Saccharomyces cerevisiae S288C: one gene and its partners. Changing the gene in region 3 together with the main gene of any one other region gives a genetic interaction. Each region holds a gene or a part of one and is shown on either strand. Other genes may lie near its edges. The genes, in order: ROD1, GRR1 and HXT3.

Region 1 (11,348 bases), on a different chromosome or scaffold from region 3:
TATTTCTATACTTTTCTCCAAATATATCTTCGTTTTTCTTTTCGCTTTCCTTCTTCCTTCTGCCTTTCCTCTATTTATTTTGCACTCCACTCTTTTCCGTAAACCTTGCCTATCTATTATTGGATTTTTGAAAACTAAAGTATAAAGGTATGTCATAAATAATTAAATAACAAAAAAAATAGGATCATGATACAAAAAAGTGCCTTCCCCTTAGCACAGCTGATCCAACAATTTTAAGAGCTTGAAAAGCAACCTATACGTAGTTTTTTTGGCGACTGGTAAAAAAGAACTGAATAATTAATGCCTGCACTATACTGATACCAACCATTACCCCCATAATTAGTAATGAGAGCCATGTTAATCTTGACTCAGTAGAACTCACAGTATACATGTTTCTCCATTCTCTAGCCCTTAAATAATCCATTGTTTTGGTGATCTTATTCAGGTTCCTATCAATTTCCTCGATGGCGTTGTTTGCGATTATGTCCTCTTTGCTTTCATGGGAAGAAACAATTTCCTTTTCCTTTTCGAGGGTGATTTCAACTTTCTTTGGGGAAGTGCCGTAGTTATTACTCAAACAGAAAGTGTACTTACCTATACCAAACGACTTCAGTAGAAAATCAGAATGCTTCTTTTGTCTTTCAGTGACGATAACAGAGCCATCAGGGGCGGTAATATCGAAGTCTATCTCGAAATTCCCACCTGTCAAAACTTGGTAACTGACCACAAGGACATCTTTATCAGAGGATAAATCATAGTAAAGACATTCTTTGGTAAAAGCAGGTAATGATATGCCTACAGGAGCATAATTAGAGGAGAATGCATGTGTTAACAAAGATGAACTAAACAAAATCGCAATCAAAGTAAAAACGCGCATAATTCCTAGCGATGATTGGGAATATATATTTATGAAAAAACTTCACTAGCGCTCGTGAAACTACTTCAAAGGCAGCTGGGAAATAAATGTCTTCAAAGCAGAGAAGAGTTCCCAAATAGAATTCTCAGATCGTCAATCGCTCATCTTTGAGTATATCACGTCAAAAAACAGGAAACAGTGAAAAAAAAGTAGTCCATAATAAAGCGCGTTTCCGTCAATGCCGTTGGTTAATAAAGAAACAAATATGTAAAAATATAATATAAACAGGGCACTTGAGAGAGCACAAAAAAGAGCCAAACGCTACCTGATACTTTTATAGTTTTGATAATGGGGTTCTACAACTGTAGATTCCTGTCCAGACGTCTATCTGTTGAGCCTTGCAGAATAGGTAGCGCCGCTAAAAGCTATCAACAGCGATCGATTTATCACTTTGGCGCTGCTCTCACAAATGCCCCTAGTGGAAGAGAAACACCAGACAAGCTACGTTCTGACCTGCATAGTGCTTTAGAGATGGTCGATGAAATATATGACACAAATTCGACTGTAGAGGACATTGGAAACAAGGAAAAGGGAGGTCGACAAAAATATACGGAAGAAATGGACAAGGCGATTAATCTACTGAAAACAAATATAAAGAAGGAGTATAGACATGATAAGTATTTGGAGCGGACAAAGGTAGGAACGTATCCTGGTAGAAGAACATATCCTGGTAGGAGAACATATCCCGCTAGGAGAACATATCCCGCTAGCAGAACATATTCAGATAGCAATTCATACACTTTTCGGATAAATGTCCAGAAGATTAGGCACGCATTAGTACGTTACAATCAAGATGGTGTTCAAAAACACAACCAAAAGCCTCCTAGGATTGGTCATGGATTAACGAGAGTGTTATACCAACCGTTGTCGCTACAAAAATTGAGAGATAATAGGAGCAGAATGTATAATTTTGACCCTGCAGTGGAAAATATTAATCCAGAGTATTTGGAAAAGAAAAGTGAAAAAGATGTGAACACAGACTCCTCTGGAGAAGGACAAAGCAAGCCAATATTCATCACACCCCACAAAGATGAATCTCTGTTAAAGGTTGCCAAAGAACATAGAAAAAAGTACATATCTTCATCAAGTTCCATGACATCAGTACTTTCTCAGTTGCACTATTTATTATCCAATTTCAGAAGATTGAATATCATTGATTCCTCGATATCGAAAAATTTTCCTCAAAAAAACTGCAATTATTCAGAAAGTGCATATTTTCCGTCAGCAGTCATTCTGAGAAAGAAGAGAAATGGCATTTGTTCTATTGATTCAGATAGAAGTCTGGATAGGGAGATTGTGCTTTCTGTACTAGGTCATTATCTTGAAGACTTTTTAACGGAAAAGTCCCTGAAGAATAGTTCAAAAAGTGAAAATTATCACTATTCTAGTATAGATGAATTCATTGTGAGATCTCAATTGGACGCGTACGACCCAAATCTACCTGGAACGGGTGTATTTGATCTGAAGACAAGAGCAGTTTCTGCCATAAGATACGATTTATCACATGTAGAGAGTAATAACAACCAAACTGGATATGAGATAGATAAAGTTTATGGGGAATTTGAGTCTTTGGAAAGAGAATATTTTGAACTAATCAGGTCTGCCCTTCTAAAGTATTCTTTGCAAGCTAGAATTGGCAAAATGGACGGTATTTTCGTTGCATACCACAATATTTCTAAGATGTTTGGATTCCAATATCTACCTTTGGACGAATTAGATTATATAATCCATTCTTCGTATAACAGCAAATTCGACAGTTTGTTAAAGGAGAAGAATGATATCACAAAAGGGATATATGGTGAGGAGGACTACATTCTACACTATGACAGGGACGATAGGAAAATTGCTTGCTTGGTGGCTAATAGGGAATTTAAGATGTCTATGAATCTGTTCAGTAATATTTTGAAACACGTTGAGCAGTTACTTAACTCAAGTAATACGAAATGGGAAAAATGCAAAATAATGCTTAAAACCGAAGTTGAAGAAAAACGATCCAAAAGTGGCCGCTTCTTTAACGAACCGGTGCTAAATATTGTAGCCCTGCCGTTGTCACCTGAGTACGAGGATAAATCTTTATTGGTAAAGGATACTTCGAACGAACAATTAACAGAGGAGCTACTAAACCTCCGCTCATATAACGAAAATCTTTTGGAGGAACACCTGAATTCCTTAGTTGGATTTAAAGTAAATGTCAAGCATTTCTATCACCATCATCCTAATACTACACATCTACCTGATTTTGCTTTAAAAAAGAACGATATTCTCGACACCGAATCCCGTAAATATATTTCTGACATGATGAAACGAGACTGGTACAAAGATATACCATCTACACAGACTCCAAACTTTTTCCACGCTTCCGATGTTTCCACTTGGGAGGTGAACTCTACTTTTACAGATATCAATGACAAACAAATTTTACGAAAACTATACTTTAAATATTTGGATGTTAAATTAAACGCATTGAAAAATCAAGTAATCACACGTCAGGAACCTGATATGTCTAAAAAGGATGAAATTATGAATCGAATCAAATCACTACAAGCCCGCAATGATCACCGCGATAATGGAAGTAACAAAAGATATTCTAATTTTGGCCCTACCCGACTGCAAACTAAACTGCGCGCATATGCTAAAAAAGGTGCCCTTCGAAGAAAACTATTAGAAAGGAGTAACAAGTTCCATATCTAGAAGACAGTAGTCAGCGTTGGGCAATCTAATGTTATAGGTGAAGTTTTACTACTTTAATGTATTCACTCACAACTTTCGACCTTATGTAATTATTCTATGTATTTTTAGATATGTCCATACAATGCATTATTCTTGTAATTATAACACATATTAATTAAACAATGGGTCAAAAAGAGTCGAGTCCCTTGGTACATATTATGTTACATTACTGATTAAGTTGAATAAAAGCATCTAACTTTAAGGAATCTGCTTTATTTTGAAGACCGAAAACTACGAGTAAAAATAGGAGTTTTAATGCGGATGAATGTCTAACCCCAGAGATGGGTTCTCCGATAAAAACTGAGAAGCTTCCTGTTCACAGTTTTTATAAATTATTTTGTATGGCTGGGCTCTTGCAATTTTCAGCGTTTTTTTATTAAGCGAAAAAAACAGAACAGGGGTCCCCTATTCAAATATAGACGTCAAAAAGATGCAGATCTAAAACTAATTAACAACCATACAGAAATCAACGCGATTTCATCACACCATTCGCTTCTCTTCCTCCATAAGTAATAATGTTTTCATCATCATCTCGACCTTCAAAAGAGCCATTACTATTTGACATCAGACTTAGAAATTTGGACAATGATGTTTTACTGATAAAAGGCCCCCCTGATGAGGCATCTTCTGTCCTACTATCTGGAACTATAGTATTGTCAATTACTGAGCCAATTCAAATCAAGTCTTTGGCTTTGAGACTTTTTGGTAGGTTGAGACTAAATATTCCAACGGTTTTACAAACTGTTCATGGGCCGCATAAGCGATACTCAAAGTTTGAGAGAAACATATATTCTCATTTTTGGGATGATTTTAATATAAAAAGTTATTTCCAAAACTTGTACGATAATCATAATAATGGTAAAATAACAATTTCTAGTAAATCCTCAACAAATTTAGCAGCATTGCCAAAGAGAAAAAGAGCCCTTTCTACTGCATCATTGATATCAAGTAATGGGCAGACAAGCGCAAGCAAAAACTATCACACCTTAGTAAAAGGTAACTACGAATTCCCTTTCAGCGCGATTATTCCTGGGTCATTAGTGGAAAGTGTAGAAGGCCTACCAAATGCTGCCGTCACTTATGCTCTGGAAGCTACTATCGAGAGACCTAAGCAGCCCGACTTGATCTGTAAAAAACATCTAAGAGTTATTCGAACGTTAGCTATAGATGCAGTCGAGTTATCTGAAACAGTATCAGTGGATAACTCATGGCCTGAAAAAGTCGATTATACGATCTCCATTCCAACTAAGGCAATTGCCATTGGCTCTTCCACCATGATCAATATTTTAATTGTTCCTATATTAAAAGGATTGAAGTTAGGCCCTGTTAGGATCAGTTTGGTGGAAAATTCCCAGTATTGTGGTAGCTATGGAGGGGTTATCAACCAAGAAAGAATGGTGGCTAAATTAAAACTAAAAGATCCCCTGAAGCACGTTGCCCAAATAAAGAAGAAGAGGAGCCTAAATGAAGCTGCCGACGAAGGGGTTGATACGGACACAGGGGAATTTCAAGATAAATGGGAAGTTCGAGCTTTATTAAACATACCTGCAAGCCTGACTAAATGCTCCCAAGACTGTCGCATTTTATCTAATATCAAAGTCCGTCATAAGATCAAGTTCACTATAAGTTTACTCAATCCGGACGGTCATATTTCAGAATTGCGTGCGGCACTGCCTGTCCAATTATTCATTTCACCGTTTGTTCCAGTCAATGTAAAGACCTCCGATGTTATTGAAAGAACGCTCAAAACGTTTGGACCCTCATATCAAGTAACAAGTCAGCACGATAATTCATTCAGCAGCAAAAACTTTGTAGACGATAGTGAAGAAGATGTGATTTTTCAAAGATCTGCTTCTGCGTTACAATTGTCTTCAATGCCAACCATAGTATCTGGCTCTACTTTAAATATCAATAGTACTGATGCAGAGGCTACCGCAGTCGCTGACACAACTATGGTAACTAGTTTGATGGTACCTCCCAACTACGGCAATCACGTTTACGATCGAGTGTATGGCGAGGTAACTAATGAAGACGAAACTTCAGCATCAGCTTCTTCAAGTGCCGTCGAATCACAGGCAATTCACAATATTCAAAACCTATATATATCGGATAGTAACAATAGCAATAATCCTATTTTGGCACCAAATCCTCAAATCAAGATTGAAGATGATAGCCTAAATAATTGTGACTCTCGAGGGGACAGCGTTAACAATAGTAACCTGAATCTGGTTAATAGTAATCTAACAATTAGTGAAAATTGGAACAATAACTCTCCTTCTGCAAATAGATATAATAACATCATTAATGCTGGATTGAATAGTCCTTCACTGACACCAAGCTTTGCACATTTATCTAGGCGTAACTCATATAGTCGCCAAACATCTTCTACATCGCTGAAGAACGATTTGGAACTGACAGATTTAAGCAGAGTTCCCTCGTATGATAAAGCAATGAAATCTGATATGATTGGTGAGGATCTTCCACCGGCTTATCCCGAGGAAGAACTTGGAGTTCAAGAAAATAAAAAAATTGAACTAGAAAGGCCACAAATTCTTCATCACAAGTCTACATCCTCTTTGTTGCCACTTCCAGGCTCGAGCAAGAGTTCCAATAATCTGAAAAGATCGTCTAGTAGGACACATTTATCCCACTCTCCATTACCAAGGAATAATAGCGGATCCTCAGTATCATTGCAGCAGTTGGCGAGAAACAACACAGATAGTTCATTTAATCTAAATCTCTCTTTCACTTCAGCAAAAAGCAGCACAGGAAGCAGACATTTTCCGTTTAATATGACAACATCTTTCACTAGTAATTCAAGTTCCAAGAACAATTCACATTTTGATAAAACTGATTCTACATCTGACGCTAATAAGCCAAGAGAAGAGGAAAACTATACGAGCGCAACCCACAATCGAAGGTCACGCTCATCGTCAGTTCGGAGCAACAATAGCAACTCACCATTAAGACAAGGAACAGGTTCATTTGCTAATTTAATGGAGATGTTCACAAAACGGGATCGCTCATAGACTGCTTTATTTTTTGTCTTCGAAATTTCGACAAAAAGATATGAGCAATACTTCATACACGTTTGTACAGTTAAGCATATATACTTTGATAGAGTACTTTCATACCTCATACCACTTGAAAAATGATAATATAATGTTATAATACTACCTCATAATTGCTATAAAGTAAAACAATTCGGCGTTGTAGTTTATGCTTCTATAATCACAAAAAAATTTCACTGAAGTTGTCAGATTCTGCCGCAAGGCTTCTCATAGATTTTGTTAAGTGGTCTTACTCGGTTTTATGGCTTGAAGGTTAACATAATTATGAAAACTTATTGATATCCTCCCCACCCCTAACGTTTTAAAAATGATCTCGTCCAATATGTTTGAGGTGAATAATATCGGACCAGTTCTTGTTTTTAAAAGATAAGAATTGCTCATATTTCCCATACTTGTTGGAAAATTTCTCTCAACAATTGTATGAAGGCAAAATCCCTCAATTGAAACATTAAAATAGTGATTAGAAAAACAGGATTAATCAGTTATACGAACGTATTTTTGAGAGAATATAATGAGAATACAATGAGCTTCAGAAGATCTGTTTTTCTTTACTTGGCACTTCTTCCTCAACAATTATTGGCACTACAAAATTTTCTAATTAAATGTTAAAGATCCCACAGACATCATTCGTATATATCCTCCCATTTTATACGGTTAGCCAACTTTGCGATCCTACGGAAATTGCTATTTTTATAGTCAACTCATTGATCTCGAGCACAGCTGCTCTTTTCTCTCAATGAATTACGTTATATGTTAATCACACAAGCATCAGTTTTTCATCGCAAAAGAAAATATTTAGAGTTCTTGCAATTCAGATGTACCTCAATTAATAACTCAATCACCTCCTATGTTCTTGCTGGTAGTACTGCTTTTGTCTTAATTACTGCTGAATCAGCCTTCTAGAAGACCGTTCTGTTTCAGCCGCTCGCCCCTTTTCAAAGCTTGCGCGGCTGAGTTTTATGAGGGGCGGCTTTTTTGTGAATGGCAATCTACCATTATTAGTAGCAATATGATTTGCAGATAGATACATATATATCCTTCTGGGTTCATGTCTCGTTACCATCCACACTAATGCATAGGACCAGAAAGAAAGGACATCGAATCCAACACGTATTAAAATAAGGACTCCTCATTAAAAAGGCTTTTAATATTCAACTTGCTATAGATCACGCACCCTTTTGGCAAGTCAACCTTAAATTATTATGATTTCTGTTTGCCCACAAAATGACTTGCAAAAATGCTACAGAAGCCTCACATTCGATGTTCCAGGACAACAATTCGAAGAGAGAAATGAACAAAACCTTAAAAAACGGGCCAAAAAGAAAGGCAGTTTCCAACCATCTGTTGCCTTTGACACAGTGCCTTCCACCGCTGGTTATTCTTCTATAGACGACAGCAGGGAAGGATTCAAAGGTGTACCTGTTCCCAACTATTACACGATGGAAGAGTGCTATGACGATGAAACAGACTCTTTTTCGCCAAATTTGCAATATTATTTGAGAGATACATTCCAATCATCACCTTTTCTGAATACTAGAAAAGAGAACAAATCTGAATCCAGTAGTTTTCCAATGAGATCCTCAAAGTTGTTGGAAAAGAATTCTGACATCAAAAAATATTTCTTGGTATCCAAGAATGGAAAAATAGTGAGGAGAGACTATCCAAGCACGCCAGTAATTGTCAACGAAACGTTGATGATAAACAGGTTTGAAAAGAACTGGATAAAGTTATGGCGCCAAAGAAAACTACAAATAAATGAAAGGCTGAATGACAAAAAAAAATGGTTTACTTACCCAGAACTTATCTTCTCTGAAGAGCGTATTAAACCGTTATATAGAGGAGATGATAGTGCACCATGTACAAAAGAACAAAAAAGAAAGCATAAAATACTTCAACAAAAGGTCGGATATCCCAATAACCCTAAGACAATAGTTTGTCACATTAACGGAAAAAAACATACGTGGGTTGCCCTAGACTGGACAGTCTACAAGTTTGCACGAAATCTTGATCACATTGTTGTCATAACTACACTGCCAAAAATGATTTCTAACAGGAAAAAAACTGCAAAAGATGATACAGAATGGGCACCGGGATATCAAAAAGAAGTAATAGATCAAAAATTAAACGACATTTTTGATTATATTTTACAGCTAGTAAAAGTGGTCAAAATATCCGTCAAAATTACTTTAGAAATAATTGTAGGCAAAATTAAAAAAAGTCTGGTAGATGTCATTAATGTCCATACTCCAGATTTCTTAGTTCTTGCTACTTTAAAGCACGAGCGAAATGAGAATCTTATTACATATAAATCCAAAAAGCTGACAGATGTCTTTCCTGTTAGTTATCCGATTCCCACATTTGTTGTTCCCTCGAAACGAATGTATTCGTTCGAACTGAATCTACAAAGAGAAGTAAATGAACATTATGTCTCAAAAAATCATATGAAGCACGAACACACTGACGTTGAGAGCATGAGCAGTTCAATGTTCAAAAAAAATACAATATCAGATATTTCTTCACATATTTCCGTAGATTCGTACGCCGAAGATTTCAAAAGGCAAGGCTACATCAAAAAGCAGTTCAACACCTCTAATGATTCCATTCCAAGAAAATTGACCGGTCTCGCCCAGCATTCAAGAAGGAAGATCACGGGTGATATAGAAAAATTACAAGACGATGAGAAAGATAGAGAATGTACTAAGGAAAAACTTTTGTTGAAGAAAATTGATATCATAATTAGAGAGTCATTGAAGTCTTCTTTAGCGATAGAGACGTTGCCTGGTAAAAATGTATCGCAGTCCAGTCACGGTGACCAAATTTCCAGCTTTAAGAATGCTTTGATAGGCAATGGGTCGAAAAACACAAAGTTTAGAAAATCTTTAATACCATATTCTTCCTCAGAGGAACAAAATACCACAACAACTATTAAACTCAGTAGCTCGCCTACGTCCCAAATCAAGTTTGCAACCTCTGTAAAACACAAAGATGGAAGAGCCGCCCTTGGCAAAGCCAGAAATCTGCCTGATATAAGGCACAGTATTTCCTTCGACAAAGAAAATTCCTTTGATCCATCTGATAAAAGCAGTAGTGTTGATAATAGCATTCCTTTGAGGAAAGTTAAAAGTGCCGGTGCGTTAAGAAAAGTCAAAACTAATGACTCCTCAAGTAGTGCAGGGTCAAAGAAAAGCTCGTCTAGTTTTAGTACTGTGAACACCTTCACTGGGGGTGGAGTTGGGATTTTTAAGGTGTTTAAAAGTGGAAGTTCCTCTGGAAATAAATCATCCAGTAGAAGGAATAGTAGCAGTGGCGATGTTTTTGAAAGTGATGATCGTAACGACAAGAAAAAGAAGAAGAAAAAAAAGAAGAAATCATTGTTCTTATTCGGCAAAATATGAGCGGATAGTTTGTACACATAGTGTCCCTAAAATTCCTATTGATGAATAGATCAATTTTATTAGCAGACAATTGGGGGCAGCAACTGAATAGCAGAAGAAATTTGAGTTCAATTATTTTTTTTTCCTGTCATACATAATGGCCTATTTACAGGTACATACATATAGAGTATGTATATAAAATCTCTGTTGAAGAAGACATCATTCTTAGTCCTTGGCAATCTTAGCCAGGATTTCAGCGTCCCTGAAAAGAATAACTTCATCGTCGTTACCCAATTTAATGGTAGAACCACCAAACTGTGGAATCAAAACTTGGTCACCAACTTTAACTTGAGGAACAACCTTATTACCATTAGCATCAGTAAAGCCCGGGCCTACGGCAACAACTTCAGCTTGGTTTAACTTCTCCACGTTCTTTTCAGGTAAATACAACCCGGATGCTGTCTTTGCTTGTGCCTTGATTCTTTGGACAAGGACACGGTCCATCAATGGAACGATAGATTTAGCAGACTTCAAAAGGGTGGACATTCTTTTTTTTCTGTAGATTCAATATATTTTCGATCAATGGCTTCTATCAGAAATTATTTTAAACCTAGCACATAATAAGTTTGTACTGTATAAGCGTTTTGACTAATTTTATACATAATCAAGCTTCTTTTTCCCATTCCTTCAAGATTCTAGAAATTTCTATCATTGATGACGGGCATTACCCCGTTAATGACCTTCACACGAATGAGAATTGGGCGGCTAATGAGAGAACTTCGAGAGGTGCAATAAGTGAGAAATAACAACTTTAGAACTCATTATGATTGCTTCCAATACCTAATCCTACGTATGTACTAAATTAAAAAGACAGACATGCATTATTGAATATTGACATTTTGAGAGTAACTTTTTATTATGAGTGGCATAATAAGATAATCGACGCAAGCCACAATTTATACAATAAAAAATGCTACCATCGCTGCTACATATGAACGAAAATAATACAACTATCGTTACGGCCTTTGCTGAACCGTAATAAAATAAAATTCCTTGTTACATTTTTTTAGCCAGCTGCCTCAGAAAGAGGCGTTTACTATTTAATGGAGAAAGAAAGCAAAGAAAAATAAAAGGTATTTTCTTTACGGAAAGCCTTCGAGCAATCCAGGAGAAAGTGGACCTTTTTTTCCCAATGAAGAGATCATAGGAGTATGGATTGAAAATATAATAGAACTTCGGGTAACGAGGTGTAATTTC
Region 2 (12,460 bases), on a different chromosome or scaffold from region 3:
TCTGCGATTCTACTCCACTTGTTAATCATATTGTAATGCATATGACTGGTATTAAATGCCACGTTTTTCAAAAACTCTTCATTAATTTCAATTTCACAACGAGCAAATGAACCGTCTTGTGCAAATAGATAATCCCACTCATCTTGTTTAGGTTTTTTCTGTACATACTTCTTTTCAAATTTATACTTTGTCTTTCCAAAAAAACTCTTACCCACCGGCACCTTGTCTACTATTTCGACCAATTCATGTCGAGGTTTTTCATATTTACATTTTAATGTGATAACACATTTTTTGTAGCTATCTCTTTCAGAAGAAGCGGAGGATGTTTCGGCTTTTCCTTTAAAATCTATGGGCAATTCAAATTCCTTATTGATCCTGATGTTACCGTCATACGGAAGCGACTCCCAGGGTGTCTGAACGACATTTTCCCCATTGTCAAAAACAATAGCATATGTTGCTCTATGACTCTTAGTTCCATATAATGCAAGCGTGGAAATAGCCTTTATACTTAAATAAAGTGTTCCCATATCCGGAAATTCTTGTTCAACGTCTTGTGGTTCTTCAAGTTGAGTTATCGTTTCTTCTTTTGCTTCGACGTTATCTTTTGTCTGCGCTAGCAGTGGAGGAATATCTTGTTTCAAACCATCGGTTTCTTGCTGCGTCATTGGCTCTATTTCCTCTTCAGCCTTAATGTTTATTTCATTATTCTCTTGTTTGTTTCCAGCTTTCACGACCTTGAAAGGACTGCTAACATGCCGTTTTATTGGACTTATACTACGAACTGGAGTGGAAGGGGTCATTTTATCTTCTTCGAAATCGTCGAACATGTTCAAAGTGATGGCATCACTATTATTCATGCCCTCTGGACGAGAGTCAGTATCGCTGAAACTTGCCTCATATCCTTTAATGCTTGCAGCTAGCGCAATTGAAACATCCTTAACTGGTGTTTTCAGCATTCCAATCCCCAAACCAGTCCTTGGTTCAGTTATACGCTCTTCTCTAATTTTTTCCAAATCTGCGTCATCTTTAGTATCTGATTCTAATAATTTTTGCAGGACGTCGGGGGCAATAGGTTGCTTTCTTATGGAAGGTGGCGGTTTTAGTTCGTAACTGCTTTCCCAAAGAGAATTGAAGCTTTTCTTTGAACTGTCTCTTTGAAAACTGGATGAATCATCCGGCCCATGATTGAAAGATGTGGAGTCATGATCCAAAGCGTCTAGAAAATTAGCAAAATCCTGACCCAATTCCTCATCAAAGGATAAAGATAGTAAATCGCCCCTATTAAAAGTGATATCACCCGCACTCTCTATTTCCCGAATGGAAATTTCAGCTTCGTCCTGGGTATTGGTTGGTAATTTCTGTTCATCGAGGCCTACATTTGTTGTGATATCTTGTTCGCTTAGGTGCGTACTTAATGGGATATTTTCGTGTTCTTGCGGTTGTTCTACCTCCAAGAAATGATTCTGAAAACCAGAATCTTCGCCATTAAGTTTCATGATGCTTGGCCTAATAAGTGGAGCGTGACCCTTTTGAGTTCTTATGTTATCTTGAATCCTTTTAGAGATGAGTGTATTTCTTCTCATAGGGTCGAGTGCATTCCATTCACTGTTGCTTAAAATGTAATCTTCATTATCGTAGTAATTCAATGAGGATACTCTGCTTTTTGGATTGTAAATCCTACTCCTGCTCACTATTCTAGGTTTGAATTTGAACGAAGTTGATCCATTATCCTTCTTAGAATCGACCGTAGATGCAGTGGTAATCGAGGATTGTTGTGAAAATTGGGAGTTGGCAATGGATTCTGGTGAATTGGATTTGATTTCCTCTTCTTGGATATGCCATATAGAAATGTAATCTGATGGTTTCATGGATCTGGTTAAATCGATGGAATCATTGGAGGTATCATTTTCATCTATAAATGGCTCGTTGAATTGAATTTCTTCCCATCTTGGCAGGGGTGGTAAGAGGGGAACGTGTTCCGGCTCTTCATTTTCTTCGACTTTATGGTACTCACTTTCATCTTTCTCGGTTTCAATGTTCTCATCCTTAGTTTCAACTTCCTTCTCTTCAATTCTGTCTTTATTACGAGCCTCGCTCACCGACTGATCTTCACATGATGATGAAAGATCATGTTCTTCTGCAGAAGTTTTTGCCAATGGTTCATTCACTTCAGCGGCCTCTCCATGGTCGACACCAATTTCACTGCCATTTATTATATTTTCTTCTGGACTCTTTGTTCTTTGTCCATACAGGCTCTCCTCGTGTTGAACGATTCGGTATTCCTCTCCATCCTTAAAGTTCCTTTGGAATTCACTTTCATTATTTAGTTCAGTGAATGTTTCTTCTGAAGAATCCTTTTGAGGAATTATTGCCGGTTGTTCATTTGCATGTTCACTTTCTTGATGAAGCTTTTTGGTATCCCAGTCTTCTTGTCTCGTTACTTTATAGTCAGCAATGTAGCTTTCCTCTGACTTTGTAGATGTTGAAATATTTGCGTCTGTTTCTTTGTCTTCATTCCATACGTCATCCGATGTAGCATTAAGATCTTTGAATTTGGGTTCACTGTGCGCTAGAGAATCTTCCTGTGAAAATTCTTGAACATTAGCATTGGTCCCTTTATTAGAGTATACTATGGACCTAGTGTCATTTTCACCCAAAAAGGTAACGGGCTCATTGCTGCAACCTTCGTCAAGAACTTTTTTCTCATCAAAAGCATCATCGATATGTTCCATATTCTGTTGAAGGTCCCGCACAACATCGTTTTCAATAAGCGCATCCGCATCAGTAGTGACTGGATTATTTTGGCTGGAATCAGCACCCGGCAGATTCGTTGAAATGTTTAAATCCTCCACAGAGGCTGTTGGCGATCTTGAATCAGAATGTGAATTGTTACTAGTGTTCAACAATTTACTTGGAAGGTTACATTTCTCATCGACTGGCGTCATTTCGGGCGTTGATGACATACAAAATGGTAATTCTGGGATTGTTTTCGTATCTAGTTCTCGTCCTGTGCTATCAACTGAGGTGTCAGATACTAGACTTTTGTCTGATTCGTTGGGATTCAATGTGAAATCAAGATTGAGCTTATTAATCGACACTGCGTTAGTTATTGGAATCCTTGATGGAGAGTGTAATATTTGAGGTGACTGTGTTAAACATGTGTATGCATCTTCTTCCTCTTCATCTTCGTCATCGTAATTCGTTTCAATTTCAATAGAACTTCTGTGGATGGGCGATTCTGGATACGACAGCAGTGGTTGAGTCGATTTCAAAGTAAATTTAAGGGGAGAGCTGCTAAGTTTTACGGGCTTTTCCTCATCACGGGCTAGTTTATCTATATCTTGTGCCATATTTTTCAGATTATTAAGCACTTTGGGAGAATTGGCATGACCAAGTGCCCCGTTGGCAACAGAGTTTTTAATCCGTTCCTGATGCACAGCGGCTGGAGACTCTTCAAGTTCCGAATTTACACGTAAGAGACCCAAATTAAGGCTTTCATTTGAGATGGTAGACATCTTAGAAGGTGATCGACCTCTACTATTTTCTGTAGCATTCGACCTAGTATTGTGTTTGACCAACATTTCCATGGTATCATCGCCTATTTCCTGCAGCGGAAGCTTCCAGTTGTGTGGTGTATCTTCGGAACCATTTTGCGTGATATTAGACTTTGTTTGTTCCATTTCATTGTCTATCTCCTTCAGTAGAGAATCTACGGTACTCTCTGCGTCGTGCATGCTTCTGTACTTTTGTTTTTATATAATTTAATGAACTAAAAAATTCTTCTTGCACAGACTGAATCAAAGAAATATACACCAAACCAACGAAGTTTAGTGAATGGAGATGTTCCCTTCTAAGTGTTTCCTTTGCATAAATAAACATTATTGTTTTCTCGAGGAATATTTCATTGTTGTTTACCTTTTTCCAAATCGGGTCATCTATTCGTTCCTCGCGACAATGTCTCTTTTTCATTTGGACAAATTACCCGCCGACAATTATTGGGACAAAGGGGGGCGTTTCTCGTAGGATGACCAATGGCGCATAGAGATGAATAGTTAAAACAATAAGAGGCACTTCGAGAGATTTGTGTGTATGTGTGAGAAAGAGCGTGAACGTCTATTTATTCCTTCTTAAGATGGATAAAAGTAAGCAGATGAACATCAACAACTTGTCCAACATCCCCGAGGTGATTGACCCTGGCATCACTATCCCAATATACGAGGAAGAATACGAGAACAATGGAGAGAGTAATAGCCAACTGCAGCAACAACCCCAAAAGCTTGGATCATATAGGTCGCGAGCAGGAAAATTTTCTAATACATTGAGTAACCTTTTGCCCTCCATCAGTGCCAAGTTACACCATTCGAAGAAAAATAGTCACGGAAAGAACGGTGCTGAGTTTTCCTCTAGCAACAACAGTTCCCAATCTACGGTGGCGTCCAAGACACCAAGGGCCAGCCCTTCCAGGAGTAAGATGATGGAAAGTTCTATAGACGGTGTAACTATGGATAGACCTGGCAGTTTAACCCCTCCTCAAGACATGGAAAAATTGGTGCATTTTCCTGACTCGAGTAATAACTTCTTAATTCCTGCCCCCCGAGGATCTAGCGACTCGTTTAACTTGCCACATCAGATCTCGAGGACGAGAAACAACACAATGTCTTCTCAGATAACTTCCATTTCATCAATCGCCCCCAAGCCTCGTACTTCGAGCGGAATATGGTCTTCAAATGCTAGTGCGAACGATCCCATGCAACAGCACCTTTTGCAACAATTGCAACCTACGACAAGCAATAATACAACTAATTCAAACACGCTCAACGATTATTCGACAAAAACTGCATATTTTGACAACATGGTATCTACTAGTGGAAGCCAAATGGCAGATAATAAGATGAATACGAATAACTTGGCTATCCCAAACTCTGTTTGGTCAAATACCAGACAGAGATCTCAATCCAACGCGTCTAGCATATATACCGACGCTCCACTGTACGAACAGCCCGCTCGTGCCAGTATTTCATCGCACTATACTATTCCAACACAGGAATCTCCATTGATTGCTGATGAAATAGATCCGCAATCCATCAATTGGGTAACAATGGACCCCACTGTACCATCAATAAACCAAATATCGAACCTTTTACCCACAAATACCATTTCTATTTCCAACGTTTTTCCCCTACAGCACCAGCAGCCACAATTAAATAACGCGATAAACTTAACAAGTACTTCCTTGGCAACCCTATGCTCCAAATATGGTGAAGTCATATCTGCTAGGACTTTAAGGAATTTAAACATGGCTTTAGTTGAATTTTCTTCCGTGGAAAGTGCCGTAAAAGCCTTAGATAGTTTACAGGGCAAGGAGGTATCTATGATTGGAGCACCAAGTAAAATTTCATTTGCCAAAATCTTACCTATGCATCAACAACCCCCACAATTTCTTCTCAATTCTCAAGGCTTGCCATTGGGTTTAGAAAACAACAATTTGCAACCACAGCCTTTATTACAGGAGCAGTTATTCAATGGAGCTGTGACTTTCCAACAACAAGGAAATGTTTCTATACCTGTATTTAACCAGCAATCACAACAATCGCAGCACCAAAACCATAGTTCGGGTTCTGCTGGTTTTAGCAATGTTCTCCATGGTTATAATAATAACAATAGTATGCACGGAAACAACAATAACTCAGCAAATGAAAAAGAACAATGTCCTTTCCCTCTACCACCACCTAACGTTAACGAAAAGGAAGATTTGTTAAGAGAGATCATCGAACTTTTTGAAGCAAATTCCGATGAATACCAAATCAATTCGTTGATAAAAAAATCGCTGAATCACAAAGGCACTTCCGATACGCAAAACTTTGGACCTTTACCAGAACCATTGTCTGGCAGGGAGTTCGATCCACCAAAATTACGCGAATTGCGAAAATCAATCGATTCAAACGCATTTTCCGACTTAGAGATCGAACAGTTGGCTATTGCAATGCTTGACGAATTGCCCGAATTGAGTTCAGATTACTTGGGTAACACTATCGTTCAAAAATTATTTGAACATTCATCTGATATTATTAAAGACATCATGCTGAGGAAAACAAGCAAATACCTAACCTCTATGGGTGTTCACAAAAACGGAACATGGGCTTGTCAGAAGATGATCACTATGGCGCATACTCCGAGACAAATCATGCAAGTGACGCAAGGGGTCAAGGACTACTGTACTCCATTAATCAATGACCAATTCGGAAATTATGTCATACAGTGCGTTTTGAAATTTGGATTCCCCTGGAACCAGTTTATTTTTGAAAGTATAATAGCTAATTTTTGGGTTATTGTTCAGAATAGATATGGTGCAAGGGCAGTCAGAGCTTGTTTAGAGGCACATGACATTGTAACTCCTGAACAATCAATAGTTTTGAGTGCAATGATCGTTACATATGCTGAATATCTAAGCACTAATAGCAATGGTGCGTTGTTAGTAACGTGGTTTTTAGATACTAGTGTTTTACCCAACAGACATTCTATCTTGGCACCAAGATTGACGAAAAGAATTGTAGAGTTATGTGGCCACAGATTGGCTTCTTTGACTATTTTGAAGGTCTTGAATTACAGAGGGGATGATAACGCTAGAAAAATCATCCTAGATTCCCTATTTGGAAACGTGAACGCACACGATTCTTCGCCACCAAAGGAATTAACAAAGCTTTTATGTGAAACAAATTATGGCCCAACCTTTGTCCATAAAGTTTTAGCAATGCCATTATTAGAAGATGACTTAAGAGCCCACATCATTAAACAAGTCAGAAAAGTATTGACGGATTCTACTCAAATCCAACCAAGCCGCCGTTTATTGGAAGAAGTCGGGTTGGCATCACCCTCTAGTACTCATAACAAGACAAAACAACAACAGCAGCAGCATCATAACAGCAGCATTTCGCACATGTTCGCCACTCCTGATACTTCTGGACAACACATGAGAGGTCTTTCTGTTTCTAGCGTTAAAAGTGGTGGATCTAAACATACCACAATGAACACCACGACTACAAATGGTTCTTCTGCCTCTACATTATCCCCGGGCCAACCATTGAATGCCAATTCTAATTCTTCAATGGGCTATTTTAGTTATCCTGGCGTCTTCCCTGTCAGCGGCTTTTCAGGCAACGCCAGTAATGGATATGCTATGAACAACGATGACTTAAGTTCCCAGTTTGATATGCTAAACTTTAATAACGGAACCCGTTTATCGTTGCCACAACTGAGCCTAACTAACCATAACAACACTACTATGGAATTAGTAAACAATGTTGGCTCCTCACAACCTCATACGAACAACAACAACAATAATAACAACACGAACTATAACGACGATAACACCGTTTTTGAAACTCTGACTTTACACTCTGCAAACTGACGTCCCCATGTTTTCTTTTATTTCCGTCATCATTGGGAGACCACGCCGTTTTCTTCTCATACCTGCATCCATTCAAAACTATCTCATTTACCCCCAACGGTTTTATGGTTCAAATCCTAATAGAATATGAGCGAGCTAATGAAGAATTTGGGCATTTTCATTACTGGGAAGACGTGTCTTTTTCAAGCCATCATATCGCCAAATTTTTTTTCTACACCTAATCATGATTAAATAAATCCATAAAGTTTTATACAGTTTTTAAAAATATCATCATTTATTACCCAGATGTGTTAATGAACATTTATAGTCATCATTACTAGGCTTTCATTACTACTGAGGTTACCCGCCTATGGACCTTCCTTGGTAAAGGAACTTGTTTTAAAATTTGCCTTTTAACAAATTTAGTGATATGATTATCAAAAAAGGCGTGGCAAAATACATAACACCAAATTTAACTGTGCCTGTGTGTTACTTTCTTTTGTCCATACTTCACCAGTTTTTCGATTTTACACAATAATTCGTTTTCATTTAATCGTTCTCTTAGAAGCCCGGTTTTTGAATATCAAAATCGTACTTGTGTCCAACTAGCAGGGAAGCCCAAAAATTAAGGCATTGCATTTAAGCTTACACCTGCGTGAAATCTTGAAATTTCTCATTGATTTCGGCACAATAATTATCATTGGTAGTGAGGCTAAACAGTTTTGCGGTTTCCTTTATACTAAGAAGGTCTATAATGGATCAGGATAACAACAACCACAATGACAGCAATAGGCTGCACCCACCTGATATACATCCAAATTTGGGCCCTCAATTGTGGCTGAATAGTAGCGGTGATTTTGACGACAACAACAACAACAACAACAACAACAACAATAATAATAGCACAAGACCACAAATGCCATCACGAACTAGAGAAACGGCAACTTCGGAAAGAAATGCAAGTGAGGTTAGGGATGCAACGCTAAATAATATCTTTAGGTTCGATAGTATTCAACGGGAAACGCTTTTGCCAACCAACAACGGACAACCGCTAAATCAAAACTTTTCGCTGACATTTCAACCACAACAGCAAACAAATGCGCTGAACGGGATTGACATAAACACTGTGAACACAAACCTTATGAATGGTGTCAATGTTCAAATAGATCAACTTAATCGATTGTTACCGAACCTACCAGAGGAAGAACGGAAGCAAATCCACGAATTCAAGCTAATAGTGGGCAAAAAAATCCAAGAGTTTCTGGTTGTTATAGAGAAACGTAGAAAAAAAATACTGAACGAAATTGAGCTAGACAACCTTAAACTAAAGGAGCTACGTATTGATAACTCCCCACAAGCAATTAGTTATTTGCATAAATTACAAAGAATGAGGCTTAGGGCGCTAGAGACAGAAAACATGGAAATTAGAAATTTAAGGCTAAAAATATTAACAATTATAGAAGAGTACAAAAAGTCATTATATGCATACTGCCATTCCAAGCTAAGAGGTCAACAAGTGGAAAATCCAACAGATAATTTCATCATTTGGATAAACTCCATAGATACTACTGAATCATCTGACTTGAAAGAAGGGCTACAAGATCTTTCGAGATATTCAAGGCAGTTCATAAATAATGTGCTTTCGAATCCATCAAATCAAAACATATGTACGAGTGTCACCCGAAGATCACCTGTGTTTGCCCTAAACATGCTACCCTCGGAAATATTACACTTAATATTAGATAAACTTAACCAAAAATATGATATTGTAAAATTCCTTACCGTTTCCAAACTCTGGGCTGAAATAATTGTGAAGATACTTTATTACAGACCGCACATCAACAAAAAGAGTCAATTAGACTTGTTTTTAAGGACTATGAAGTTAACTTCTGAAGAAACTGTATTCAACTATCGTTTAATGATCAAAAGATTAAATTTTTCATTTGTTGGTGACTACATGCACGATACAGAGCTTAACTATTTTGTCGGATGTAAGAATTTGGAGCGACTAACTTTAGTATTTTGCAAGCATATAACCAGTGTTCCAATATCGGCTGTTTTGAGAGGATGTAAATTTCTCCAAAGTGTGGATATCACTGGAATAAGAGACGTTTCCGATGACGTATTTGATACCTTAGCGACATATTGTCCCAGAGTACAGGGCTTTTATGTTCCTCAGGCAAGGAATGTAACATTCGATTCACTGCGGAATTTCATAGTCCATTCCCCGATGTTGAAAAGAATAAAAATCACAGCAAACAATAACATGAATGACGAATTAGTAGAACTATTAGCCAACAAATGCCCTTTGCTTGTAGAGGTCGATATAACATTAAGTCCAAATGTCACTGATTCTAGTTTGTTAAAACTCCTCACTAGGTTAGTTCAGCTGAGGGAATTCAGAATAACTCATAATACGAATATTACGGATAATCTTTTCCAGGAGCTTTCTAAAGTAGTTGACGATATGCCCTCTTTAAGATTGATTGATCTTTCTGGATGTGAAAATATTACAGATAAAACTATAGAAAGTATAGTCAATTTAGCCCCTAAATTACGTAATGTTTTTCTAGGCAAGTGTAGCCGAATTACAGATGCATCGTTGTTCCAATTATCGAAGCTGGGCAAAAACTTGCAAACAGTGCATTTTGGGCACTGTTTCAATATAACTGATAACGGGGTAAGAGCACTCTTTCATTCATGTACAAGAATACAGTATGTGGACTTTGCGTGCTGTACGAATTTAACCAATAGAACTCTTTATGAACTAGCAGACTTACCAAAATTAAAGAGAATTGGCCTTGTCAAATGTACGCAAATGACTGACGAGGGTTTGTTGAATATGGTTTCCTTGCGAGGCCGAAATGATACTTTAGAAAGGGTACATTTATCTTACTGTTCTAATTTAACAATATATCCGATATATGAGCTTCTAATGTCTTGCCCAAGGCTCTCACATTTGTCTTTGACTGCTGTTCCGTCATTTTTACGCCCCGATATAACGATGTATTGCAGGCCTGCACCCTCAGACTTTAGTGAAAATCAACGTCAAATATTCTGCGTATTTTCAGGGAAAGGTGTTCATAAACTTCGCCATTATTTAGTAAATTTAACGTCGCCCGCTTTTGGACCACATGTCGATGTAAATGATGTTTTGACAAAATATATTAGATCCAAGAATTTGATATTTAACGGTGAAACACTTGAAGATGCTCTTAGGAGAATCATAACTGATTTAAATCAAGATTCCGCTGCAATTATAGCTGCTACAGGATTAAATCAAATCAACGGTCTAAATAACGATTTTCTTTTCCAGAATATCAATTTTGAACGAATAGATGAAGTATTCAGTTGGTATCTCAATACTTTTGATGGCATTAGGATGAGCTCGGAGGAAGTTAACTCACTATTATTGCAAGTAAACAAGACGTTTTGTGAAGATCCATTTAGTGATGTGGACGATGATCAAGATTATGTCGTAGCACCTGGTGTAAACCGGGAAATTAACAGTGAAATGTGTCATATTGTTAGAAAATTCCATGAGTTAAATGATCATATTGATGATTTCGAGGTGAATGTTGCTAGTTTGGTAAGAGTTCAGTTTCAGTTTACTGGTTTTTTACTTCATGAAATGACTCAAACCTATATGCAAATGATTGAATTAAACAGACAAATTTGTTTAGTACAAAAAACGGTTCAGGAATCGGGCAACATAGATTACCAAAAAGGGCTTTTAATATGGCGACTTTTATTCATTGACAAATTCATTATGGTGGTTCAGAAGTACAAGCTCTCCACCGTTGTTTTGAGACTATATTTAAAAGATAACATAACATTGTTAACCAGACAAAGAGAACTATTAATAGCCCACCAAAGATCAGCATGGAATAACAATAATGACAATGACGCCAACCGGAACGCCAACAACATAGTGAATATTGTATCGGATGCTGGGGCAAACGATACAAGTAACAATGAAACTAACAATGGTAATGATGACAATGAAACAGAAAATCCAAATTTCTGGCGTCAGTTTGGCAATAGAATGCAAATATCACCTGACCAGATGAGGAATCTCCAAATGGGACTTCGTAATCAGAACATGGTTAGGAACAATAACAACAACACAATTGACGAATCAATGCCTGACACTGCCATTGATTCTCAAATGGATGAAGCATCAGGAACGCCCGATGAAGATATGTTATAATTGTATTTCATTGAATACTTACTGTCCTACTACACCTTTATTTTCAAAATCCCACTTTTCTTACTTATTTACATATAAATACATAATGCATTCACTTTGAAACTTTTTGCCTTAGCATGTATACGCTATAGACTTGCGGTATCAACGAATATACGTAACGTTGTCACGTCCACAGAAGATGCTATGTCAACAGTTCCCTGCAGATATCTGCGATGCGGCGAAACATTCTATACACAGTTTCAAAACTACAAAAAATACAAACCTTTAGCCTGTTTATCAAATTAGTTAGCTATAAAATGCCCATTTTCTTAGCAATATCGATCAATTGATTGTCATCTTCCAAAGTTTCAATAAAATTTGTGGCAGTATAGTAATCCCTTCTCAATATGTCCAATTTCTTATCACAGTCATCTATAAATTCGCGCTTAATAGATTGCACTTTTAGGTTCACCCAATTGTTGAATGTCATGTCCAACTCTTCTGCAGGCATTTGCTTAATCAAAAAAGCCAGATCACCGTCTTTGTCATTAGCTAGCGTAGCATCATTATTATTTATATATTTTAACAAATCATGGAAGTAATTTTTTACAAGGTGTCTATTTTCATCAATTTTAAACCATTCTGCTGCATTCGGTTCTTTTTCGTTGTTGCCCTCATTAAATGAACTTCCTTTCTTAGAATTATCAGCCAAACTTGTGCTTGTTTCCTTTCTTTGTTCTTCTAAACGTGAATTCCGTGGATATGAAGAGGTTCCAGACACCAAATTCCTTGCAACTGATGGGACTGGCTCAAATTCGGGTTTAATAACCTTTTTTATTTCTACAGTTGATGAATCTATAGGTATATCCAATTCCTTCCCAGAA
Region 3 (10,526 bases):
TAAGAGTGATGCGAGAAATAGCCACAGTAAACAATGTTGCCATAATAAATAGTTGTCGTTTTTATTCATCTCATTTTTCTTATGTATCCATACATATATATATATAATGTAATATAGCCTGAGCAAATGAATAAAGTTTTCGTGGATATCTGCGAAATATACCCTTGCAAGCAAAACAAAAGAACTCTCAGAAAAGGTTATAATACAGGTGCTGGTAGGAGTAAGTACGTTCCTGGGGCTTGGTATTTATCGGGATGAAGTGATCATATGTATTGTTCCAGGTTTAATGAAACACCAAATGTATTTAATCAAAAAGAAAACCTTCCAGACTATTTTAAATGGCTCAAATACAAAATACCGCAACTATGCACTTCGTTTTAGGGATCCATCTAATCTGCAAAGTCGGAAAATGGAAACGATCCTATTGACGCGATCCTTATGGGGTAAATTAAAAAAACCTTCACGTTAGGATACTACAGCTGAAGTAAGCGTCTCACGTAGCGCGCAGTCTATTTTTGGAAGTTAGGGGCTAATGATTTTCTACGGCTGCCGAGCATGGATGATGCCTTTATTTAGAAGCATGTAAAAAAAGCGTCTCAAAACACGGAGAAATGCACTAACAATGGGTATACTAGACTTGTTAAATTCAAATTTCGGCGAAAAGAGACTTGTATTTCATTAGTTACTTTTCGTTCAGTTAAGCATGATCGTCTAGGCGTTCCATTAACTAGTATCTTGGTTCTTTATGTAGTTTGAAGTTATCTCTGTAATTAGGCTCCTCATTTGCCAAAGTTAAGTATTGGATGTGTGTGCAGTATGCTTTCATGCCTCTATAGCAAAAATCAATGGCTCTCAAGAAATTTGTCGTAACCCACTTTAGCATATTTATTTACATTTTGTCGGAATATTATTTCTTCTCTACAGAAAAATGAAAGCAACAGAATTGAATTTCGACAAGTCACAAACAAACTTTGTAGACTTTTTATTACAAAAATTTATTAAGTGACATTCACTACTTGTATTATTGTGAGAGAAGTACATAGCACCGGGAATCTTAGACAGGGTTACTACTAACTACAACCCTCATACTGCCTTACGTAGCCAAACAAGAGCAGTTCTCAGATTACAATGGGAGATCATTTGAAAATATCAAAGATTGATCAAGAATATTTTACTGGTGGCATCCGCCCGCCCTTTAATTTCGGAATTTAGTGCTGCTTACAACTCTTCATTTTCCTCATGCGGGACGCCAGCTTTGGTGCGGGATGAAGGCAATATCCAAACCAGCATCAGGAAAAGCCTGAAGAAATGTGGTGCCTAATGCTCTTATCTAATCTGTATCCACACCTTACAGCGAAGTGTTCAATTAACTGTGCGGCTAATTCTGACACTTCATCAAAAATTACACCGGTATATCAAATGGCGGTGTAGTTTGAAAAGTACACTGTATGTCCATTAATAAAATTACGCCGAAGAACACTGACTAGCTATAAATTCTCTTCCGGCGTCCAATTTCAACCTAAGGCAAGTATTGTTAATCAATAATGCGTGTTGGTAAATATGAAGCCCGATGTTGATTAAGAAGAATTATTCGTATAAGAATTAAGCAAGCAAAATTAAGGAAAATTTTTTCTTTCCTATTCGTCATCGCAGACAGCCTTCATCTTCTCGAGATAACACCTGGAGGAGGAGCAATGAAATGAAAGGAAAAAAAAATACTTTCTTTTTCTTGAAAAAAGAAAAAAATTGTAAGATGAGCTATTCGCGGAACATTCTAGCTCGTTTGCATCTTCTTGCATTTGGTAGGTTTTCAATAGTTCGGTAATATTAACGGATACCTACTATTATCCCCTAGTAGGCTCTTTTCACGGAGAAATTCGGGAGTGTTTTTTTTCCGTGCGCATTTTCTTAGCTATATTCTTCCAGCTTCGCCTGCTGCCCGGTCATCGTTCCTGTCACGTAGTTTTTCCGGATTCGTCCGGCTCATATAATACCGCAATAAACACGGAATATCTCGTTCCGCGGATTCGGTTAAACTCTCGGTCGCGGATTATCACAGAGAAAGCTTCGTGGAGAATTTTTCCAGATTTTCCGCTTTCCCCGATGTTGGTATTTCCGGAGGTCATTATACTGACCGCCATTATAATGACTGTACAACGACCTTCTGGAGAAAGAAACAACTCAATAACGATGTGGGACATTGGGGGCCCACTCAAAAAATCTGGGGACTATATCCCCAGAGAATTTCTCCAGAAGAGAAGAAAAGTCAAAGTTTTTTTTCGCTTGGGGGTTGCATATAAATACAGGCGCTGTTTTATCTTCAGCATGAATATTCCATAATTTTACTTAATAGCTTTTCATAAATAATAGAATCACAAACAAAATTTACATCTGAGTTAAACAATCATGAATTCAACTCCAGATTTAATATCTCCACAAAAGTCAAGTGAGAATTCGAATGCTGACCTGCCTTCGAATAGCTCTCAGGTAATGAACATGCCTGAAGAAAAAGGTGTTCAAGATGATTTCCAAGCTGAGGCCGACCAAGTACTTACCAACCCAAATACAGGTAAAGGTGCATATGTCACTGTGTCTATCTGTTGTGTTATGGTTGCCTTCGGTGGTTTCGTTTTCGGTTGGGATACTGGTACCATTTCTGGTTTCGTCGCCCAAACTGATTTCTTGAGAAGATTCGGTATGAAGCATAAAGATGGTAGTTATTATTTGTCTAAGGTTAGAACTGGTTTAATTGTCTCCATTTTCAACATTGGTTGTGCCATTGGTGGTATTATTTTGGCTAAATTGGGTGATATGTACGGTCGTAAAATGGGTTTGATTGTCGTTGTTGTTATCTACATCATCGGTATTATTATTCAAATTGCATCCATCAACAAATGGTACCAATATTTCATCGGTAGAATTATTTCCGGTTTGGGTGTTGGTGGTATTGCCGTTTTATCTCCTATGTTGATTTCTGAAGTCGCTCCTAAGGAAATGAGAGGTACTTTAGTCTCCTGTTACCAACTGATGATTACCTTGGGTATTTTCTTGGGTTACTGTACCAACTTCGGTACTAAGAACTACTCCAACTCTGTGCAATGGAGAGTTCCATTAGGTTTGTGTTTTGCCTGGGCTTTGTTTATGATCGGTGGTATGACTTTCGTTCCAGAATCCCCACGTTATTTGGTTGAAGCTGGTCAAATTGACGAAGCAAGAGCATCTCTTTCCAAAGTTAACAAGGTTGCCCCAGACCATCCATTCATTCAACAAGAGTTGGAAGTTATTGAAGCTAGTGTTGAAGAAGCTAGAGCTGCTGGTTCAGCATCATGGGGTGAGTTGTTCACTGGTAAGCCGGCCATGTTTAAGCGTACTATGATGGGTATCATGATCCAATCTCTACAACAATTGACTGGTGATAACTATTTCTTCTACTATGGTACTACCGTTTTTAACGCTGTTGGTATGAGTGATTCTTTCGAAACTTCTATTGTTTTCGGTGTCGTCAACTTCTTCTCTACTTGTTGTTCTTTGTACACTGTCGATCGTTTTGGACGTCGTAACTGTTTGTTATATGGTGCCATTGGTATGGTCTGCTGTTATGTAGTTTACGCTTCTGTTGGTGTCACCAGACTATGGCCAAATGGTGAAGGTAATGGTTCATCCAAGGGTGCTGGTAACTGTATGATTGTCTTTGCCTGTTTCTATATTTTCTGTTTTGCTACCACTTGGGCTCCAATTGCTTATGTTGTTATTTCTGAAACTTTCCCATTGAGAGTCAAGTCTAAGGCTATGTCTATTGCTACAGCTGCTAATTGGTTGTGGGGTTTCTTGATTGGTTTCTTCACTCCATTTATTACTGGTGCTATTAACTTCTACTACGGTTACGTTTTCATGGGCTGTATGGTTTTCGCCTACTTCTACGTTTTCTTCTTTGTGCCAGAAACTAAGGGTTTGACTTTGGAAGAAGTCAATGATATGTACGCTGAAGGTGTTCTACCATGGAAGTCTGCTTCATGGGTTCCAACATCTCAAAGAGGTGCTAACTACGATGCTGATGCATTGATGCATGATGACCAGCCATTCTACAAGAAAATGTTCGGCAAGAAATAATTTCACGCTAAACCGTAGTGCTGAATAATAGTGTATTTTAAGATTCGATGTGCTAGTCAATAATGATAAATAATACACAAGATTTATGACTTTATATATATAATTCTCTGATACAGTTAATAAAAGACATTGGTACATGATATCAAACAGAATTTTAACATTTCTTGATCCAGTTTGTAAACAAAACAAACAATTTTTCTACCATTTAACTTCATACCATCGGCGAGAGCCGAACAGGAAAAAAAAGAAGTCTCCGGTTATCGTAAGCAGTATCAAATAATAAGAATGTATGTGTGTGCAATTTGTTATACCCACGAAGAAGTGCGCAGTAGAGTTAGAAAACCAACTGAGTAATCTTTACTCCCGACAATCGTCCAATAATCCTCTTGTTGCTAGGAACGTGATGATGGATTTCGTTTGAAATCCGGACGGAAAACTCAAAAGAAGTCCAACCACCAACCATTTTCGAGCCTCAAGAATCTCTAAGCAGGTTTCTTTACTAAGGGGATGGCCTTTCTGTCCTGGACATTTTTTCCTTCCTTTTTTCATTTCCTTGAAAGGAACAGATTTTTTTTGACTTTTGCCACACAGCTGCACTATCTCAACCCCTTTTACATTTTAAGTTTTCGGGTTGAATGGCATCAAATTTGGGAAAATTTAGCTTACTCAGACACCAACACATTTTTTCATGAGTATTGTTGGAAAATCTTTCCATGCTTATCAGCCGGAATACGGAACAACGGCTGCTGTGATGCCGCAAAGGGGCAAGGAAAAAATAAGCAACACACACCGAAACAGGAGGAAGAAATTCCGAACACAAGCCTAAGAAGACACCGCAGTTGTTGCAACATGTTCACATGTTCATCCCCCTGCTACTACTTGGAAATTAATGTAGGGGTAATTGGAGTGCGCCGGCCCGTGCTTTCAGAGGAACAAAGGAAGAATTGTTAAAAAAAGGCAGTGACAACGAGCACGGGTGCACCATATGGTGTGATAAGCAACCTAGGACAAAAAGAAGTGCGCAGTTCCTGTGTGCGGCGCCAAGACAAATGTTTCATATGCTTCTCCAAGGGGCTACGCTACCTAGCCTCACCACCCGATCTCTTTTTTTCCTGAACGCAGAGGGGACCGTACGAAAAAAAATGTTTTTTAGGCAACGGAGATTCGTTTTATCCACGTTTACCCCACAAAAAGTGCAGGTACATTGTGGGGCCCCGGCATCGAAAACCAGTTTTTTTCCTTTAAACGCTGGAAAAAAAGGAGAAATTATTGGAACTTTGCAGAGAATAGTCCGTAGGCAAATTGAAAATGTTCCTTAAAAAATTTCGTTTCTTACTCATTGAGATTATTCAGATGCCCTCCGTGCCTTCATTGAAAAAAATCCAAGAGATGTCTCGGATCTGTATGCAGATTTTGGCTTGCAGACAATGGAGAGCAAATGGGTATACAATATAGAAAGCACAGAAACATATAAAAAGAGCTCGAGAAAAGACATATGGTTTGTAACTATCTTCTTCTTTTTTCCAATTTTTCTGTTTTAATAATAAAAAAACAAGAACAAACAAGCTCAACTTGTCTTTTCTAAGAACAAAGAATAAACACAAAAACAAAAAGTTTTTTTAATTTTAATCAAAAAATGTCACAAGACGCTGCTATTGCAGAGCAAACTCCTGTGGAGCATCTCTCTGCTGTTGACTCAGCCTCCCACTCGGTTTTATCTACACCATCAAACAAGGCTGAAAGAGATGAAATAAAAGCTTATGGTGAAGGTGAAGAGCACGAACCTGTCGTTGAAATTCCAAAGAGACCAGCTTCTGCCTATGTCACTGTCTCTATTATGTGTATCATGATCGCCTTTGGTGGTTTCGTTTTCGGTTGGGATACTGGTACCATTTCTGGTTTCATCAATCAAACCGATTTCATCAGAAGATTTGGTATGAAGCATAAAGATGGTACTAATTATTTGTCTAAGGTTAGAACTGGTTTGATTGTCTCCATTTTCAACATTGGTTGTGCCATTGGTGGTATTATTCTTTCCAAATTGGGTGATATGTACGGTCGTAAGGTGGGTTTGATTGTCGTTGTTGTCATCTACATCATCGGTATTATTATTCAAATTGCATCTATCAACAAATGGTACCAATATTTCATCGGTAGAATTATTTCCGGTTTGGGTGTTGGTGGTATTGCCGTTTTATCTCCTATGTTGATTTCTGAAGTATCCCCAAAGCATTTAAGGGGTACTTTAGTCTCTTGCTACCAATTGATGATTACTGCCGGTATTTTCTTGGGTTACTGTACCAACTTCGGTACTAAGAACTACTCCAACTCTGTGCAATGGAGAGTTCCATTAGGTTTGTGTTTTGCCTGGGCTTTGTTTATGATTGGTGGTATGACATTTGTTCCAGAGTCTCCACGTTATTTGGCTGAAGTCGGTAAGATCGAAGAAGCCAAACGTTCTATTGCCGTTTCTAACAAGGTTGCTGTTGATGATCCATCTGTTTTGGCTGAAGTCGAAGCTGTCTTGGCTGGTGTAGAGGCAGAGAAATTAGCTGGTAATGCATCCTGGGGTGAATTGTTTAGTAGCAAGACAAAGGTCCTTCAGCGTTTGATCATGGGTGCTATGATTCAATCTCTACAACAATTGACAGGTGATAACTATTTCTTCTACTATGGTACTACTATTTTCAAGGCTGTTGGTTTGAGTGACTCTTTCGAAACCTCTATTGTCTTGGGTATTGTTAACTTTGCTTCCACCTTTGTTGGTATTTACGTTGTTGAGAGATATGGTCGTCGTACTTGTTTGCTATGGGGTGCTGCATCCATGACTGCTTGTATGGTTGTCTATGCTTCCGTGGGTGTCACCAGATTATGGCCAAATGGTCAAGACCAACCATCTTCCAAGGGTGCTGGTAACTGTATGATTGTCTTTGCCTGTTTCTATATTTTCTGTTTTGCTACTACATGGGCTCCAATTCCTTATGTCGTTGTTTCTGAAACTTTCCCATTGAGAGTCAAGTCTAAGGCTATGTCTATTGCTACAGCTGCTAATTGGTTGTGGGGTTTCTTGATTGGTTTCTTCACTCCATTTATTACTGGTGCTATTAACTTCTACTACGGTTACGTTTTCATGGGCTGTTTGGTCTTCATGTTCTTCTATGTTTTGTTAGTTGTTCCAGAAACTAAGGGTTTGACTTTGGAAGAAGTCAACACCATGTGGGAAGAAGGTGTTCTACCATGGAAGTCTGCCTCATGGGTTCCACCATCTAGAAGAGGTGCCAACTACGACGCTGAAGAAATGGCTCACGATGATAAGCCATTGTACAAGAGAATGTTCAGCACCAAATAATTTGCGAACATTTTTATTAATTCATGATCACGCTCTAATTTGTGCATTTGAAATGCACTCTAATTCTGATTTTATATTTTTAATGAACCCTTACGATTTATATTGTATGGCAAGATGTTGCCAATAGAAGTATAATTTTTTATTAATTTTTTTTCTTTTCTAAGCTTTGAAGAAAAGTTAACAGCTTTACCCTTCAAAGTTATTGTTTTGTAGCGCTAGAAGCGAAGTAGGCGCTCTTTCTCGCATAAGCTACCTTAGGAGGAAAAAAAAAGTCTTCTATTATAAACAAAGTACTCTATAATTCATCAAAAAAATTAATTATGAGCCGGAGCTTTTCACAATCAGTGTACATATGCAGGGCTCACCTCGGTACTGCGCTTTTCTACCTGAAATTAAATAGAGTCACCTCATTACAATGAAGCTACTAAACTCCTCAATGTTAAACTGGCATTGCGACAGAGTAGAGAAGGCTTGTCAATAAACCTGAATTTTTGGTAATAAAAAGAAAATGGGGATCATATTAGGCCTTTATGATCATCCTTGGCAAACTACATCCCATATATGTTTGAAAAAGGGTTAATGATATGAAAATGTTTTTATTTAATAAGAAATGATGTACTACTGGCGGCGATTGGTAAAGAGGATCTAAGTTTTCTTTCCTGGCAGATGATAAACAGTTAGCATTCCCCAAAAAAAATAATTTCACCTTGTTAAAAAGGTAATTTGCGAGAAAACATGAACAGTCTGCCCCTTAATGAACAGTTTTTGGCCAAAGTCCTATTCGAATATATTTTAGTGGAAGAAAATCTTGTAGGCTGTAAACTTATTGATAGGCCCATTTGGTACTATTATATGTTATTTCAGCAACAATTTATGGAAAGGTTGCCGTAAGTAACCTTTAGATGGCAGGAAGGAAAAAAATCATGCTTTAAGAGTGGCTTCAGTAGCTAAAAAGGTAGTATACATCGCACAGTGAATATTCGCCCCAATGGACGGAAAAGTTCATGCAAGATTAAACGCAGTACCAGAAAGCCGCGTTTGTATGGTTTTATTGGCGTCCATACAAATAACTTATTAGCGGGGTGACAATTCAGAGACAATTCTAATGTCGAAAAGTGTACCATCACTAAAGTATTCCAGGGACTTCTGCCCACCACGTAGAAACGCGTTGTTGAATTATTTGACACAGTAATTTACCTAACTGGTCAAATGATTCTGTCTACTTCATTGGCTATTTTTCGATTTCTTTAACCTGCGACAGGAATTCAACAATGTTTAAACAAAAAATTCTGACAGCTAACTAGTAATTTTTGACATAAAATAATGATTATCTTCACCATGATAGAAATGCAGGACACGTAGTAAAAAGAAGAGATTTTTCCTTCTAGTACCGCGTGCTCAATACCACACTTTTGCAAAAATGCATCGATATATTAGGTAAACTCAAACAACGAAAGGAGGAATAGGCATTCGATATTGCTATTTTCAAATTGTATGCTGACGTCAACTTTTTATTAAGGATATGATAAAATCAACAAATGCCAACTTCTTCAACTTTTAGAAAGTACGAAATGCTAATAATCTTTTGTTCGTATGCTCCCTGAGTTACAATTCTAAGATCATTTTTGTGTTCGGTCACCAGCAACACTATATAACGAAATAACAGTTGCCATATTCGTTTTCTGTCTTGTTGAAGCTCAGATTGCTCAAGAAATAAAATAATTACTACATGAGACAAAAAATCTCATGGGAGCAAAATTTTCAACGCATGTTCAGACCATTTTTTTTTGCCGATGAGTGAGTAATCGCCAATGGGTCTTAATCAATTACAGATCTTAAACAGTCGTTTGGTTTTCGATGCTCAAGGGATCGGACCAGCAATAATCGGAAGAAGAGATCAAACAATCGGTCATTAGTCTCAAAGAACATGCAAGCTAACACAATGTTAGTGAGGAAGAGATAAAAGTGTGGGGTGATGGTTGTTCCTTATGTTTATTACAGGAGAACGTTAAGTGAACTCTGAGAACTAACTGCAGCAGCTTGATTCTCCGCCTGTTTACTTGGAAAAGAAATGGGAACAAAAAAGGTACTGCATTTTTTTCCGGTTCTTTTCTCCACCTAGGATGAGGAGTAATTTGCCTTAATGGGGGATTAAATCCGGGGCTTTCCAAAGCGGGACCCATTTAATTCCACCTTCGGATTTTTTTGCATAAACTCTCAATTTCCCCGCGATCCATCTGCCGAATGGTGCACTCTACGGAAAAATACAGTAAGAAAAAAAAAAGTCCTGTAATCTTCAAGTCTTAGATTGACAGGAACGTTAATATTTTTCCTGATCTATGTTTGACAAGTATGGTAATTGATAAAATTACGCATATACTGCCAATAGCCCTAAGTGATAGTAGTCGGAAGAAAACAAAATGGCAAGCAGTTGACAGCAAAAATTGTTAGCGTATCCTATGGGTGGTGGAAAGAAAAGTTTATTAAGCTAGTATTATGTGTTTTTACTTTCTCACGGAAAAATTCTCTAGAAGAAAAGCGATTTTATTTTTTTATTTTTATTATACTTAGCATCTCGAAAAATTTCATTCACACGGTGAAAAGAAATTCCGAATGAATTAAGATCGCATTTAATTTCTTGATGTCTACATTAACAGGCTGCACAAAACAACCCTAGAAAATAGTACTCTCATCGCTAAGATCATTTGGGGTTGTTAAGCATGCCCTGCTAAACACGCCCTACTAAACACTTCAAAAGCAACTTAAAATATTTTTATCTAATTATAGCTAAAACCCAATGTGAAAGACATATCATACTGTAAAAGTGAAAAAGCAGCACCGTTGAACGCCGCAAGAGTGCTCCCATAACGCTTTACTAGAGGGCTAGATTTTAATGGCCCCTTCATGGAGAAGTTATGAGGACAAATCCCACTACAGAAAGCGCAACAAATTTTTTTTTCCGTAACAACAAACATCTCATCTAGTTTCTGCCTTAAACAAAGCCGCAGCCAGAGCCGTTTTTCCGCCATATTTATCCAGGATTGTTCCATACGGCTCCGTCAGAGGC

The links.
Region 1: of HXT3 (region 3) and ROD1, changing one suppresses a phenotype caused by changing the other (phenotypic suppression), as found in Saccharomyces cerevisiae (one study listed by BioGRID).
Region 2: of HXT3 (region 3) and GRR1, extra expression of one rescues a mutant of the other (dosage rescue), as found in Saccharomyces cerevisiae (one study listed by BioGRID).

The regions. Positions count from the first base shown.
Region 1 is NC_001147.6:360,208-371,555, forward strand, and holds ROD1 (Rod1p), read left to right. Parts: upstream 1-4,161; coding exon 4,162-6,675; downstream 6,676-11,348. Other genes in the region: YOR015W (uncharacterized protein), read left to right, coding at 1-145; ERP4 (Erp4p), read right to left, coding at 254-877; PET127 (Pet127p), read left to right, coding at 1,205-3,607; YOR019W (uncharacterized protein), read left to right, coding at 7,920-10,112; HSP10 (Hsp10p), read right to left, coding at 10,317-10,637. UniProt on the Saccharomyces cerevisiae protein: Mediates resistance to o-dinitrobenzene, calcium and zinc.
Region 2 is NC_001142.9:590,009-602,468, reverse strand, and holds GRR1 (SCF ubiquitin ligase complex subunit GRR1), read left to right. Parts: upstream 1-8,141; coding exon 8,142-11,597; downstream 11,598-12,460. Other genes in the region: BUD4 (Bud4p), read right to left, coding at 1-3,734; JSN1 (Jsn1p), read left to right, coding at 4,133-7,408; BIR1 (survivin), read right to left, coding at 11,887-12,460. UniProt on the Saccharomyces cerevisiae protein: Substrate recognition component of a SCF (SKP1-CUL1-F-box protein) E3 ubiquitin-protein ligase complex which mediates the ubiquitination and subsequent proteasomal degradation of target proteins.
Region 3 is NC_001136.10:1,156,541-1,167,066, reverse strand, and holds HXT3 (hexose transporter HXT3), read left to right. Parts: upstream 1-2,406; coding exon 2,407-4,110; downstream 4,111-10,526. Other genes in the region: YDR344C (uncharacterized protein), read left to right, coding at 4,618-5,061; hexose transporter HXT6, read left to right, coding at 5,747-7,459. UniProt on the Saccharomyces cerevisiae protein: Low-affinity glucose transporter.